Drosophila melanogaster: one gene and its partner. The protein of the gene in region 2 interacts with the protein of the main gene of each other region in a pairwise test. Each region holds a gene or a part of one and is shown on either strand. Other genes may lie near its edges.

Region 1 (8,182 bases), on a different chromosome or scaffold from region 2:
CTGTGCATGTACCTTGAAATAGTGATCCACACGCAATAAGTCTTGAAGTTGCACGATCAATGAGCAAGACCTTATTATAATTGTCCGTCGGACTGCGAACTGCATTTAATGGACAATCAAGAATGCTACACTCGACGGAATCATTTTGAGGCCCCGTTTTCACAGTTTCGGAAAGCTCCAAATCAGGCGACAACTGATACAACCTGTTAACACCACCAACGAAGACTCGTCCAGTAATGGTGTCCACTAATAGGTGATTCAATTTGGTGTCAAACGCAGCTACATTTGTAATCGTAGAATTCAGATTCTTTGCATTCTTTATCGGTGCATTTGCATTAGTCAAATTTATCGGCTCATTTTGCGCAGTCGTCTTGTCAGACCATATATTTGCTGCCAGGGTTTGACAACCTGTCCTCGATGGCAGCCAGTAATCATACTTATCTTTAAGAATTGCTATTAACAACACACTAAGAACAAAATTCATCTCCACAATCGCTCCTTAAACAGGACTATCAAAGCTACCTTATTTATGAAATTGTTACTTGTAGGCGCTTGTATGTCCCTTATTTATTTGAAATTTTACGTAAATATTAAAATTTCCTTTGCGTTGGTGTCATTCTTGCAATTTTTATTATCCGTTCCATTCAAGATAATTTAACTTGGAGCAATAACTTGTATGACCATCATGTAAACCTGAAAAAACAATAAGGAAAGTAGTTATATATATATATATATATATATATATATATATATATACCCGTTACTCGTAGAGTAAAGGGTATACTAGATTCGTTGATAATTATTTAACTGGCAGAAGTAGGCGTTTCCGACCATATAAAGAAAATATATTCTTGATCAGGATCAATAGCCGAGTCGATCTGGCCATGTACGAATGAACGCAAGGTTAAACTTCGCTAAAACCTACAGAAACTGTCCAGTCTCCAAATGGCTTAATATCCTTTGGACTGATGAGTCAAAAATATGAACTGGAACTGGTTCACGACAGTATGTCCAACGACCTCCAAAGACCGAGTACAACCCAAGCCACACACTCAAGAATGTTAAGCACGGTGGACATAAATATGGTATGGGCCTGTTTTTCATACAACGGTGTGGGTCCCATACATATGATTAATGGTATGTAAATATACCTAGTGATGTTTTACTGCCATATGCTGAATGGAATATGCCCTTATAATGGACATTCCAATAGGATAATGATCCGAAACGCAGAAGCAAATCGGCTAAGAATAAGTTCACCCAAAATAGAATAGATGCAATGCCGTGGCAAGCACCATCATCCGATTTAAACCCGATTGAAAACCTGTGGGGGGACATTAAACAATACGTGTCGAAGAATTCCCCGATGTCCAAGATTCAGCTTTGGCAAGTTGTGCAGGATGCATGGGCAAAAATTCCCCCAAACGTCCTCGTGGACTCCATGCCGAGTAGGTGTAAGGCTGTGCTGGCTAAAAAAGGCAATCCAACCAGGTATTAGTCCCTAATTAACACATTAAAAAAAAACTATGTTAGTTCTAAGTCATGTTGTTACTATTTTTTCATATCACTGCTATTTCAGTGAACACCAGAATTTCTGCCTATTATGTTGTTTTAATCTATATCTATTGAAAAAATAAAAGTGAAACATATGTTGAATTGTTTGATATAATAATAAAATTATGAAAAAAATTCCCATTACAACTTTAAATCATATGATTTTTTATCCTAAACTCGCAAGTCCCAAGCACTGCTATTTTTATGAACACAGCTGTATATATCAGCTAAAAGGTTGAGATTCAGCATACAGATTCTAAAGACAAATACGGAGCGAAAGTTTGTTAACCTATGTTGCCACGCCCACTCTAACGCCCTAAAACCGCGCAAAACTGCCACGCTCACATTTTAAAACAAATTTTAAATTTTTTCTCATTTTATTCCTTAATATTGATATCCCAGAAAAATAAAGCAATTTCGCGTTCGCATTCACACTAGCTGAGTTACGGGTATCTGAGTCGGGGAACTCGACTATAGTATTCTTTCGAATTCTATTTGTGTGGATCACCAAACATTGAAATGCTGTTACATATAGATTATAAATGTATTTCGTGAACACCCAATAAATCGTAATTTTGAAAATCTTCACAGCCAAAAAAACTCAGTTTAAAAATTTAATCACGTCAAAACAAAAACTGTGGGTTGGCTGTAAGTGTACTTCCCTGAAACATGGGTAGTTTATCGCATAGTTTAAAATGATGTCGTACAAATAGTTTTGAAACTACAGTTAAGGTTAAAATAATAGCACTACTGCAGGTGGAAAATTGATATCCTAAAAAAAATTATAAATTTTTTTTTTTTTAAGCCAGATTGCATGAATAATAAGTACCATATGTTGCCTCTTTGAGCAATAAATTTTTAGTCTCTCAATTTAACGGTTCTTTTTGTTTTTGGGCACTTGCTGCAAAAGTGCGCGAAATGAGGCGGTAACAAAAATAGCACTGAAAACGTATTTGCTGAATAAAATTAATGGGAGTGATTGCTTTGGTTTTTTTTACGACAAATTTTGAAAAAAAGGTGTTGCATTAAAGGTTTTAATTGAATTTGCTCCAAACGAAGACCAAAAATTCTCTAGTCATGGGTCACGGAAAGCATTGTACCGTCGAAAAAAGAAATTTGATTAAAAACGTGATCTCTGAAGGTAAAACCTACGCTGAAATTGGTCGCATTGTCGGTTGTTCAAACAAAATGATCCGCAAATCACTGCTGTTTGTCGAAAAGAACGAAACGCGGCGAGGAAAGCCTTCAATGTCCAACTTGGATGCTCTCCAAGCATCCAAGCGCTTGGTTCGGCAAAGCAAGAACCCGGTGACGGAACTGAAGATGGAGCTTCAGATATACTGGCTCAACTCCTTAATATGAAAATCTCACCCAAAGCATAATTCATGAACCAACGTGCTCTACCATTTACTGTCTCCGAATAGGACTATAACCGACCAAAATATATTCCGCTACTGCCGCTAATATGTTGACCGCAACTGTACATATATATTAAACATGAATCCATATCATGCTATAAATATTAATGGAATGGAAATCCCAAGCTAAGGAGTTTCCTATGTATGCTATATAAGCATATCTCGTTTTTGCAATAAAAAATTTCCTCTACCTAACACATTAATTGTAAAACTTTGAACAAATTCAGTTCCAAACGTTCAATTTTTTTCCACTTACATATATTCGCACTCAGGCCACTTATTCCAAGCCATTTCGTTATAGAGAATTTATGTAGTTTTAAAGTATATTCACGGCTATTCCAGGATTTCAAATTTGGGCGAGCGTGCACAATATTTGGTAATTTCATTGCAAATGCATATATGCATACTGCACATACATACATACAAATTTGGCCAGCGCCCGAATTTAAATACATATAATAAACCGGTAAAATGTAAGTGCACTTAGTTTAAATGTTTTTAGGCAAAGATTATTGAGAGAAGTAAAACTCGATCTTTTGCATTTGGAATTTTTGGGATATTCTGGTGCACACACATCTATACAAAATGTATATATTTATATGCATACACATGCACATCATATACAGCAAATTTTATTTTGCTGCTATCTTTCCCAATGCATGATGCATTTAATTTCGTATGTGTGAAACGCAGCTAACAATGTATTTAAATAAGAGCCACACTTTTTAAAAATACTATTTACATAAATATAATATATACTTAAGTACATAAAACAAAATGATTGCATGGCCGTTTTTAATTTTTACATACATACAACGTTGTATACCAGTTAAAGAAAATTTGTATTTTCTTAATAATTCTAAAGCAATGCAATATACACTGGAACGTTAAATGATTTTATTACACTTTTTTTAATATTTAGCAAAAAATGACAATTTTGTATGTATATCTGAATTATGGAACGGCGATAGTTTTCTAGTGAACAATCGGAAATCCGGCTTACTGTTTGTTTTCCTATATTTCACTCATTAACTATTATTTCTTTACATCGCAAGTCACTGAACATAATTTCTGTCTATTTTCGAATTACACCACACTTTAATTTACACATCATTGTATGTAAATGTTATCGATACTATAAGGCAGAGGAGAGAATTAAACAACTAGTTGTTAGTCCTAAGACCCGTTCATACCTATCACTATCGATACCTAAATTAACCGATGGCACACTTCAAAATGTAATGTTCACGAGTACATGGAAAATGTCTTGTTGTTACTGTGTAATGACTCGTACGAAAGTAATTTGGAAGGGGTTTGATTCCCAAGCCAGATAATATTTATTATCTCTCTAATTTCCTTGAGCATTATTAAAAAATGAAATAAATATATTTAATATATTCGTTTTCTTTAATATCGATAGTGTGATGAGACTATAAAGGTCTGTTCACAATGAAAATGTAAATTGAAAAATTGGACTTAAGAATTTCATGCTAACAGCTCCTCAATCCACAGCAAATATGTGCGCAAACTGTATCAAAGCATAATTTTGTTATTTAAAATTTCATGGCACAACTTTTTTTTGTTGGCCTTTGTGCACATTTTATGACCTATTGAAATATCTTCAACTGACACCGACTGCAGATGTGCATATTTACACATCTGATTTAAAGCATTGTTGTTATGACCATGTAGTTAGAGACTTAGTTAGTTAGTAAGAAAAAAAAATAATCAATAATTTCACTGTTTTGAGGGCTGATTAGCAATAGAGATTTTTTCTAAGAAATGACATATAGATAAAAGTTAAATGAATTGAATTGCAGGGTGTTTATTTGCACATGTACACATGAAGTGTATTCCACTATTGGCTGCTTACATTCTCAGCTTCGTGCGTGCGCAGTTTGCGGTATTTTTGGCGCTACTAAGGTAAATTCTATCCATAAATCGTCTATCTCACGTTAAACAACAGGATATCAACAACTTGTGGGAAACTGTCAGAAGATACCGTTGACGCACTTTTCAAAAGTTTATTCCCCTAAATCGTAAAATAGAAATGTAGAAAGGAACAAACTTATGGAGAATTGATATTTTCGGAACTATGAACTCTAGAGAGCTCAGAGCATGTAGATTCAAGTGACGCCACATTTTTCAAGATTGTTGCAGAACGTTTGTTGTTTAACCCTACCTCCCACAATCTGCCTTAAAATGTCAGAAATAAAAGGTTTACCCGTTATTCAGATAGTGGGAACAGTGGGCGTGGCTAAAATACGTTTGGCAAATCGATAGAAACAGCCAAGAGAATTTATAAAATAAAATCGAAAAATAATTCTTAAGAGTGGGCATAACAGTTTGGGTGTGGCAAAATTTTTGTGGTATGTCAATATCATGACAGATAATTAAATGAAAACAAAATAACAACACAACGCCCACAGAAATTGTGGGCGTTAGATTGGGCGTGACGTCGTTATGATACAATCTTGCTTATCCAATTCAAATTTAAATGATCGAGTAAATATTTTGAGAAGCACATGCCCAACCGACTAATAACGGAGGGAAATAAGATTTCAAGCAAAATTTTTTGAAGTGCTTTGTAGGATTAAAACTCGAGTGCCTATAATACATGTATACTATAAATTCCATTCTATATGTACAGCCTTTCCGCCGAATACCCCTAAAAAAACGACAACCAAATCCAGTCCGAAGTCACATGTCGAGATAAGGATAATAATGTATTTGTTAAATTTGATACACAGGCACCGTATTACTTATGCGGGGAACTTAGTGCCCTAGCTATTAAGTATCATGGAGAGGTAGCAGTTCCATACGAGGGCGATGAACTGGGCGTAGAGCACCTGGTAGCCCAGCGGCACGAATCTGAAGTTTAGCATCTGTGCGGCCGGCCAGAGCATATAGTTGCGGACCAATATAGATAGGTAGCTATCAAGAATGCGCTGCCGGATTCGGTCGATGGGCTCTCCGTTGGAGAGTGGCACCAAAAAAGACATGGCCATGGTAAAGGGTGGCGCAAAAAGGGTCTGGTCGACCAGCATTTTGGTAACGCCCCGCCGCATTGGCGAGTAGGTTTTGGGAACCCGGGACTCCAAAAAATGGTACCACCGGCGCAAAGTTGGGCCAACGAACACCAGTCCAACGATGCCGAAACGGAGGGTTCGCCCCGCATCCCATTCGTCCAACGATTTCTTATCAAAAAAGAACTGGGATATAGTATCGCCCAGACACATTACCGCCGCCACATTGATGCCATCCTTTAGGTACGCTTTAAGTCTCTTCATCCTTATCAGAGATCAGTTCCATTCATAGCCCGATCCAAATTGTTTTAAATACGCAATTAAAACACAACTGAGAAATCGATTTGCTGTTGTTCGTGTAGTTTTAAAGGGTTGCCTAATAATCGCAAAGTGATTGGTGTCAATTGCTGAAGTGACAAAAATTGGCAACTCTGAATAATTATTTAAATTAAATTATGCTAGCGTATTCAACTTTTTAACGCGCGTGAGTCCTTTTAATTGTTACATGCCGAATGAGAAAACGTTAAATTGCGTTCAATATGCAATTTAATGTAATGTAATGTAAAATAACTTAAACGTTTTAAGTATCGAACTGTTTTAGCACAGAAATCTCTTTCGGAACATGCGCAACGCGTATTCTTAATATTCTTTTAAATATAAATCTTAACTTTAACCACCGCTCTTTCTCCGCAACTATTAAGGTACTGATATTAACGTCAGCTGTTCATAGTGCTGTGAACACGCCTTGACAAAGTGCAATTTTATTTCGTTATTAAATGACTACATTAATTTATGCAGCTTATATGTGATAATCTATAATCCAAATCGTTACATATTTTTATTTAATTACGTAAGTATGTGAATTTATCTTAAGTAAACTCTAATTCTTAATGGTTTCCATTCGACTTTTTTAAGCCTTCTTGTGCAATTACTTCGTCCAGGTCATTAGCGGCCGTTGCTTTCATTTAATTTAAGCTTCTTTTGTCTATTTCCCTACTGCATTTCCCGTTTTGTGACCGTTTGAATTAAATTTTTTCTTGCGCATTTTGGCAGGACCAACTTCCTCTGCTGGGTTCATTATATTTTTCTCGATGTCCTCTTCGTCTAAGAGATCTTTATATAGATCCGGGATTATTGTTTCCTTCATGAACTGCGGCGTACGACCGGTAAGCACCGACTGTCGCACATCGTCCTCTTTTTGTTCTAGCGTCTGTGTGGTGGTGTGCAGCTTGCTCCGGATCTTGTAGTAGTTAGCAGTGCTGCGAAGCTTGGCAGTAGCTTCCAAGAATTTCTCGTCTGCTTGACTAAGAGATGTGGAAATCATCTTCGGTAATTGGATGCGTTGCTTGTAGCTGCGCCCGAACAACGGATGTCGTTCTCGTAATAGGTACTTGGGTAGCGTTAGATCAGCTTGAATTGTATGTTCCTTCTGACCTGGTAGCGGTTGTTTATCATATAGACGCTTGCTGATTACCACATAGCCGACAAAGGGAATTTTCCGGAGGGCATAGGGACCCATAGATCTCAAATAGCCCAGTGCCTCGCTCTGTAACGTCGAGTTTTTGACGGCACGAACCTGGAGATCGCCCACGCTCTTCCTGCCAGGAAGCCTAATGCGCTTGCCGACTAGCAGATGTGGATCTGCACCCTTGGGACACTGGACCAGCCAGGCTTCGTCGGTCTGACCATCGAAATCCCAAAGAGCATCCCCGCAGCACTCACGAGCAGCCGCGCCTGAGGTCAGGTTCACGTACTGTTCCTCCTCCAGAAATTGGCTCCGAGGTTTTTCCTCCTGGCGGGAAAAGAGTTTTTTACTTATTTTCATTGAGCGTTGGGGAAATCAATGTATTGCAGAAAATGACCACACGTGGTACAGGTGGAAAAATACAAGGGAAATATCGATGCATCGATAACTTAAAATGATTTGAAGGAGTAAATATTGTAGTTATGTGTTTGTAAGCGTAAACACCCCTAACCTAGATAAACTATTAGATTTTAGCGATGGGTAGGAAGGAAATGTTTATAGCTGTTTCTCGCTAAAATGGAAGGGCTTAGCAAAAGTAATAAACCCTAAGTTTCCCATACCAACCAGTTTAACATAAACAAATTTATTTTTTAGGTTTTAAAATAACGCTTTTCTTCAGGCAGACAAGCCGACAAAAATTGTATTAAGACAAATATCGA
Region 2 (8,031 bases):
CTACAAAATAATGTATGGAAACAGATGAAAATAGTCGTTGTTTCTTTCTTTTTTTTTTTTGACAAATTGTTAAATTAATTGCACATAAAAGAGCCACAAAAGCGGCGCTGTGGAAAGAGAGATCTCTCTAGATCGCTCTGCGTAATTAAAAATATAAATGAAATGGCAATTGAAGAGCCGAAATACAAATGCCCCATGCAATCAGCTTTCTTCACGCTAAAATTAGCAGCCGCCACAAAAAGTAAAAAACTAAATAGAAGAAGAAGAGTCTGTGGGCAGAATAAATTTTACACAAATTTTCCACCGATGAAAGTTTTCCCCTTTCATTATTTTTCGGCTCGTGTTTATCGAAACTGTTCGGCGATGTTTAGATTTTCATTTCTTGTTAAGAATTCTTTTTTCCCCCCACCAATACCCCGATGCCCTTGGGCCGTGAAAATGGGGGTGTGATGTGGGTGGTGCCCCGATTAATTTAAGATTAAATTGAAAAACTGCAGCTAGAAATTGAAACTGAAACTGAAACTGTCACAGCCCAATGCTGTGGGGTAATTAAAAATAGTTCTTGCCGGGTTTCGATTTCTCGAATCTCACATCTCGATTCTCGCCGATTGCCGATTCTGCCAGTTCGATTTTATTATTGTCCCAATAAACTTTGCCCTTTTCAGTTGGCCATTGGCCAATATATGAAGAAGACGAGCAGCGTTCGCCAATTAAAAATGCACGATGCAGGGTTATGAGACAGTCGAGCTGGCTGGCCAAGATTGATGGGCCAGTGCAGGTGGACAAAACTCAAAAAATACAGGTACAAGTGACGTACAAAAGTTTAGAACGATAATTGAATTAATCAATTAATATATTAACCAGCGGAAACGGAAACTCTTTGCTTTTGCATAACTTTTAGTACAGCTGCATTGTTAGCCGAGAGACTCTATACGTCTTATCTAATCCATTCCAAATAAATCGCCTGTCGTAGTTATGGCGAACAAACGCAAGTCTCTCTTGTCCAACAGCAATTATCGGCCATTAATTGTTTCGTTCTTAGTCACTGACATATGCCAATCTACACTAATACGCATATGAATTTAATATATAATTATACATTTCAAACAACTCACCTTAACAAGCAATTTTGCTGGCAGAAAACATTTGTGTTGGGAAGGCGATATATATATTATGATTTGTTTAGTTCACTGAAAGGAAAAAAAGAAGAAGTATTGATTAAATTTAATAACTAGTAATTGGTTTAAGAACTAGTTCCAAGGGGTTTAATAAGAGCAGCATTACATAATGATGTTAGTTATGTTCTTACAAGCAACTAAAGAGCAAAGGTGTACTTAAATTAAGTGTAAAGTAGTATTTCTTTAAGTGCATAAGTATATTAGTTGATCTTCTGATTTGAGATCTCGGCAATGGCCAAAATACGTCATCTTTCGATGCCTGACTCTTTTAAATAATTAAGGAGACTGACTCATGTGGTTCTCTACCACCTATATATTACTTAAAAGGTGCACAAATAAATATACCCAAATTTATCTGTAAACAACGAGAAGTTCACAGAACATTGGTGCTTTTATTTTAGACGGTGGCACATCCGGGCGAAATGTCGAATTTCTGAGAGTGCCACTGACATGAGGCTCCATTTAGAAATATCTGTTTATATTATGTTCATTGGCCAATTCCACGACCTTCAGATGCGATCAAACATTGTCGCCTGTCAGCACTTTGAATTTTCATTGAAAATTGTATTGTTCACTGCCATTAATTGGCCTTCGCTTTGACTCCGGGGGAATCGAGCATGCAAATGCAATTTGTTTGGATGATTTCAATTGAGAGACGGGAAACCAGTGCAATGGGGTGTTTGCATGGCGATTCAAATCAATAAATCGCGAATGGTGTTTAGTCAATAAACCACTTGCAGTTTTCCCAAGAAAAATAGAAACACAAAAGTTGATTACATAAAGCACTAATGGTAAACTTCAACTTTATACCATAGCGTATTTTGAGATATGAATTACTTTAACTTGCATCTGGTTTCAACTTGCTATTAAGTACTAAAGATAACATTGAATTAGGACACGAAATTCGAAGAACTCGTGGATATAAAACACCCCCACGGAGTTATATTACTCGGGATAATCCCCAATGCTTGCCCCATTCCCAGTTAGGTTTCTTTGAAAATTGAAAACTTCTAGTTCGGAAATGAAGTGCAGTTTTGTAAACAAATGTAGGTGCTTCTAACAAACCCCTATGTATATATGTATGAAAACATATAGCGAAGGTAGGTGAGCCGTGCTAGAAGCTGTCGAAGCGTAAAAACTTAATCATATTAAGAGCTCGCAAACCGGCTCCTAAACTAAACTTGGTCTAGAAGGCAGAAGGGCCGATTAAACGATAGATGGATAGATGACTGAAGCTAAGCGAACGGGTGAGTGGCTGAGTGAATAAACCGAGTGGCTAAATGAGCAAAGTTAATGCCTCACTGGCTGTAAAACTGGAAAATCGAGGCTCAAATTAAAAACCCAAACACACCGGCACAAAGGCGGGCGTAACAAAAGTAGCATGTTGTATGTGCTTAGTTGTCTCAACTGAATTATAGACAAGAGCAGAATCTTATTCACCGGATCAGCGAACTTTTGCAATGGAAAAATGCACAAATAACAAAGCGAAAAACAACAGCCATCGCAACAAAGGAGCTCATTCACTTGGGTCATGGTCATCACGGCGATGACGGCGATGTCTGTCGCGTTTTTAATTAATAAAGAAACTCCTGTCACCTCTAAAGTGAAATAAAATGAAAATAAAAAAGAGACGGAGCGAAAGAAAAGCTCAGACAACAAAAAGCATGAAATTGAAAACGAACAGTGTGTATTTGATGTATTTTTGATAAATTGTGAAAGTGCCCGGCCCAGACGACAGCTAATTGACGCCCCAAAACTCCCCAACAAACCCATTTTTCCCGACCGAATGGCATATGTTATTAAAGTGGCGATAAAAATGCGATAAATAGCACACAAAAGCCTATCATGTGAAAGGCCAACAAAAACCCAAATGGCATATGCCAAAAAGAAAAAAGAAATCACATTGGCGATGAAAAACTTAACTCTGTCGCTTTTCAACTTGAAGAAAAAACTTCAAATACATAGAAGTACGAGTGTAAAAGATACTTGTCCTTGACCGTAAGTTTATCTAATTCGGCTGATATTTTATCACTGTCACAACGCAAAACATTGAACGATATCAATTTCCCATTTATGGGTTAATTGGGGGAAGAAAGGCAGATACGGGGATTCTACTCGAGTCGGGTTTGGAGCAATGTTTAATGGCTTTTCAAGTGCTTCTCAAAATGAGGAACCGAAGACCCTGCCTTCCACTTGCAGTTGCAAACGCATTGCGGTCATAAAGAGTGCACTTTATGGCATTCCACAAACAAAAGTCAAAGGTTTAAGGGGGCACAAAAATGGGAGTGTTTTACAGGAGTGACAGCAGTTAAAATATGTGAAAGTAATCTATACTTTCTAATTGGAACTATTCCTTACTTTAAGTTCATGATAGATTGGCTAATTGCAGAATATTTAAATAAATTTAGCACACAGATACATATTATTTATATTTTTCTGATCCCACATATTTAGTAAAAGGGGGAAAAAAAAAAACAACAAAAACGAGGCCCCAATTAGGGCCCAAATTAGGTGTTTTTCTCGAGGCTGAGGCTTAAAATAACATTCCAACCTTCGAAAGTGATAAAAGAGCCCAGCGTTGATTATTATAAATAGCAATGCTCCACCTATTATCTTATCTCTGGATTTAAATACACTTTTGGCCATGCCAAAGATCGGACCAGAAATATTTATTCAGTCAAGCAAAAAGTTTGGCTCTTCCACTGGAATCCAAATGGTGAGTACTTTCCCATTGTTCTTGTGCTTTTGCCAGTGCAATGTCATGACTTGACGCCATCACATTTTCATTTTCTGGGCTGCCTTGATTGGTGTAAAGAAAATTGCACCGACATCAGAACGCGATCTTAAAAGTCAATGCTCCTATATATTGCTCTTGTGACTGGGGGGTTCAACGAATGGCGATTATTCCAGCTATATTCTTATCAGAGGATGTTCGTGATTGCGACTCTCTTGGTAATTTCCATAGAGTTCAACCCGTACAATGGGTTTACAAATAGCACTATATATCATTTTATTCTTATTTTATCTTCATGTACTAAGCACTGTATATAATCTCAAAACAATCATTTGATTATCTACTTTGATAGATATTTCATGTAATTTACTGAATTTCTTTAAAATAATGTCATGGCTAATATGTCAAATCTTTTCGCTTACTTGACAATAATGTTCCCTGCTTTCTTGTTTGACTTTCTTTTGTTTTTGGAAAACTTCGGCACTTGTCATTGTCGGCTGCTGCCACGCCCTCCGTCACGCCCCTTACAATGATGTCACATTGCACAGACTCAAATTGCTCCAATTTCGCCCCCATTGCTTTTGACTATGTCACGCTTTTCCCAGCGAGCGCTTTTCCACACTTGACTTCGCATTTCCCCGCGATCTTGGAACCGCGGTATTCCCACCTCAACTAATAACTTTGTTGGTTTTCCATCCATTTTCCGAGTGCATTGCGCCTGGGCTTTGGCTTTTTCCGCAGTTTGCCACTGTTTCATTTTCTTTTTGCATGCCCTGGATTTCCATTTTGTCGTACTTGGTTTTTGCGCTGGTTTTTCTCGCCGATTGTGAAAAGTTGTGCACTAATGGCAGCTGTGAAATGCATTTATGTTTATGGTCTAGTTTTTCCATTCTTATTATTATTTTTTTTTTTTTTGACGCCTTTTGAGCACCTCTTAAGGGCAAACATTTATTCTTATCCTCCAGTCACATTAGTGCGAAGGCTAAGAGCAACCGTGATGGGTTTGCTTTGGAATTACGAATGGAAGTGGAGCAAAGCTGTGGGATTTAGAGTCATTTAACTTTACGGATCTTTAAGCGTCACTACTACTACCTAACTACCTTTCTTTCTATAGGACCATTTCATACCCTAGAAGACATCGTTTGCCTGTAGTATTGTTAAAATAAACGAATAACTAACTTTCATATACCAAATCTCAAGTAAAGAATGTTTTATGAAATGAATACACCTCTCTTAAGATATATGAATCCCAACATGTGTGAGAAAATTAACATAAAATACCGATAAGATTACATAAACATGCAAATCTTCCACTTCATCTTATAATATAGCATTATTGATCCCCGGCTGGCGACTCACCTTGATAATTTACAAATTCAGTTGGAACTGTTTGATTTATTCGAAAGGGTTTGCATATATCATTTTGAAAACGGCAAATTGCGATTATAATCGAAACAAAAGTGAGCAGAGGAAGAGAAGAAGAATAAGAGGAATGGCGATATTAGGGAGATAAAGTTGCACGCGAAAACCGGTTGCCGTTATTGTTTACACCAAATCGGAAACGAAGTTGTGGGGGCAGGCGCGAATATGAATGTTGTACGGAGGGGAAGAAGTGGAAACTGGGCGGAAAACGGAGAACGGGGAACGGGAAAGTGGGAATCAATAAAACAAACACACCACGAAAAACACATGGAAAGTGCAGCAAAACTATATGCCTTTCATTTCGGTTTAGTGCACAAATCGGCGAGTCCTGCTGCCACAAGAATGAATCATTCGAATCTTTTCGATTTTGTCGAAAGATATGATATGTGAGATAAATAATATGCTGATGCACAACCACACACACACTCGCACTCACGCTCACGCACACCCGCCCCCACACACACGAACGAACGAGGCTTCACTGTTTATGTTTATTAATATATTCCAGACACGCGGATCCATAGAAGAAAATCATACATATTCGAATTCACGGCGGCGACGACAGCAAAATGAAAAAAAATCGAAAACGAACCGAAAACTGAAAAGCAGAACACACGCGTTGGTCCTATTCGTTCCTTTGTTTTTGATATCGTATCGCGAGGGGCTAAGAACTATAACTATATCCGCATTATATAACCGCACTGGTAGATCCGGGCATGGCTGCACCGTGGGGCACGTAATTGCACCCGTCACTTACACTTTTCCTCGCCAGTCGCTTGGATCTCGCGTCCGAGTCGTTTGGGGATTTGTTTTTTAAAACGCGACGTTCGTTCCTCGGTTCTCGACGGCTATAAACAGTGTGGCCGCGCCGGGAGTGCAACTATAAGCCGATGGTGTGACCATGGCGGGAAAGTGGTATTATGCCGTGTGCCATATGGGCAAATATACCAAAACAATAAATAGCAATTCAAATAATTTAATATATAACATGTTTACTTAAAAACTAAGCTTTTTACCTAAATAAGTATAATAAAGATATAATAAAGTAAAATATTATTTTGTTATATATAATATTACCTGTGAAAAAATTTTAAAAACGTCAATTTGTTTTATACTTCTTTATTTCTTTCATTTATATAAAGAATTCCATGTTTAATTTATTCACATTGAAACATATTCAGCATAACAGTTTTGACCCACTGTAAACCTCCCTTTTCAATACTAATTCTAACGTCAACCATTGTTATCGATAACAGCTAATTTGCTGATCGCTCTCGTTCGCATAAAATAAACACTTTTCCGGCATTTTAAAATGGTAAGTAGATATTTAACGAACTGTGCCTTTTATACATCCCTTTTTTCCGCTAGTTTTCTGTCCTTCATAAAGAGGAAAATGCGCACGACAGTCAGCTATGGGCGTGCACCTGGGGACGCGACACTGCGGCCTCAGATCCGGATGACGCGGTCGTGGAGCCCGAGGAGAATCCCTTTGATTTCGATAAGAAGGAGGCCCGCCCGAAGGATTTCTTGGTCACCGGCGGACTGGATGACTTGGTAAAGGTGTGGGACTTGCAGGAGGACAACACCCTAAAGTTGCGCCACAAACTAAAAGGACATGCCCTGGGAGTTGTTTCTGTGGCCGTCAGTTCCGATGGACAGAGTAGGTTGAAAGATTCTGTACTTGGGAGATAGAGAAATGGACATCAATTAATGGTGCCGCCTTCCTTCCAGCCATTGCCAGTAGTTCTCTGGACTCCACCATGTGTTTGTGGGATGCCCGTTCGGGCGACAAGAAACACCTACTTAGCTTTGGGCCTGTTGATCTCTGGACGGTGCAATTTTCACCCTGCAACAAATATGTGATATCCGGACTGAACGACGGCAAAATCTCCATGTACAGTGTGGAAACCGGAAAGGCAGAGCAGACATTGGATGCCCAAAATGGGAAATACACGCTTAGCATTGCCTACGTAAGCTTTATCTGGTAAATAACCCATTTTGAGAATCCTATAGCTGTATTATTCTAGAGTCCCGATGGCAAGTACATTGCCAGTGGAGCCATCGATGGTATCATTACCATTTTCGATGTGGCCGCGGGCAAGGTAGTGCAAACATTGGAAGGACACGCGATGCCAGTGCGTAGCCTTTGCTTTTCTCCGAACTCGCAGCTGCTGCTCACTGCCTCAGATGATGGTCACATGAAGCTTTATGATGTGTAAGTGGCTTAACACCTATGACATTTTCAGGCACTACTATCTCCTCGTTTTAGAACCCACTCCGACGTTGTGGGCACCCTATCTGGGCACGCATCTTGGGTGCTGTGCGTGGCATTCTCCGAGGACGGCAAACACTTTGCCAGCTCCTCCAGTGATAACAGCGTGAAAATATGGGACACCTCGGAACGCAAGTGCCTGCACACGTTCGCCGAGCACACAGATCAGGTGTGGGGCGTCCGATATAGCCCCGGAAACGACAAGGTGGCCTCTGCTTCTGAGGACAAGTCCCTGAACATATACTACTGTCCGCCCAATGCCATTGTTTGATTTCATACAATAGAGCGTAGGTTTAAAACAAAGAACAAGAATGATTTATTTACGGATTACCCTCCGAGCTCGATTTAACCCGCAGAAGGGGCTGCGTGGCTTGAGTTAGCATCGTGTCTTTGTACTTCTGGTCGGGTATGTACATATTAAAAGT

What was found. Proteins that work in one complex are often made in the same cells at the same time.
Region 1: the proteins of Mical (region 2) and PlexA interact in a two-hybrid assay, tested with the Drosophila melanogaster proteins (3 studies listed by BioGRID).

The regions. Positions count from the first base shown.
Region 1 is NC_004353.4:1,022,988-1,031,169, forward strand, and holds the start of PlexA (plexin A), read right to left. Parts: upstream 4,115-8,182; 5' UTR 3,976-4,114; exon of another isoform or gene 3,783-3,975; intron 3,549-3,782; exon of another isoform or gene 3,229-3,548; intron 694-3,228; 5' UTR 485-693; coding exon 1-484. Other genes in the region: mitochondrial inner membrane protein MPV17, read right to left, coding at 5,756-6,262; CG11076 (uncharacterized protein), read right to left, coding at 6,984-7,823.
Region 2 is NT_033777.3:10,036,701-10,044,731, forward strand, and holds the start of Mical (molecule interacting with CasL), read right to left. Parts: upstream 6,196-8,031; 5' UTR 6,092-6,195; intron 5,299-6,091; exon of another isoform or gene 5,272-5,298; intron 1,191-5,271; 5' UTR 1,116-1,190; intron 1-1,115. Other genes in the region: CG3909 (uncharacterized protein), read left to right, coding at 6,647-6,649, 6,703-6,994, 7,066-7,304, 7,362-7,549, 7,604-7,877; CG11722 (uncharacterized protein), read right to left, coding at 7,927-8,031. UniProt on the Drosophila melanogaster protein: Monooxygenase that promotes depolymerization of F-actin by mediating oxidation of specific methionine residues on actin.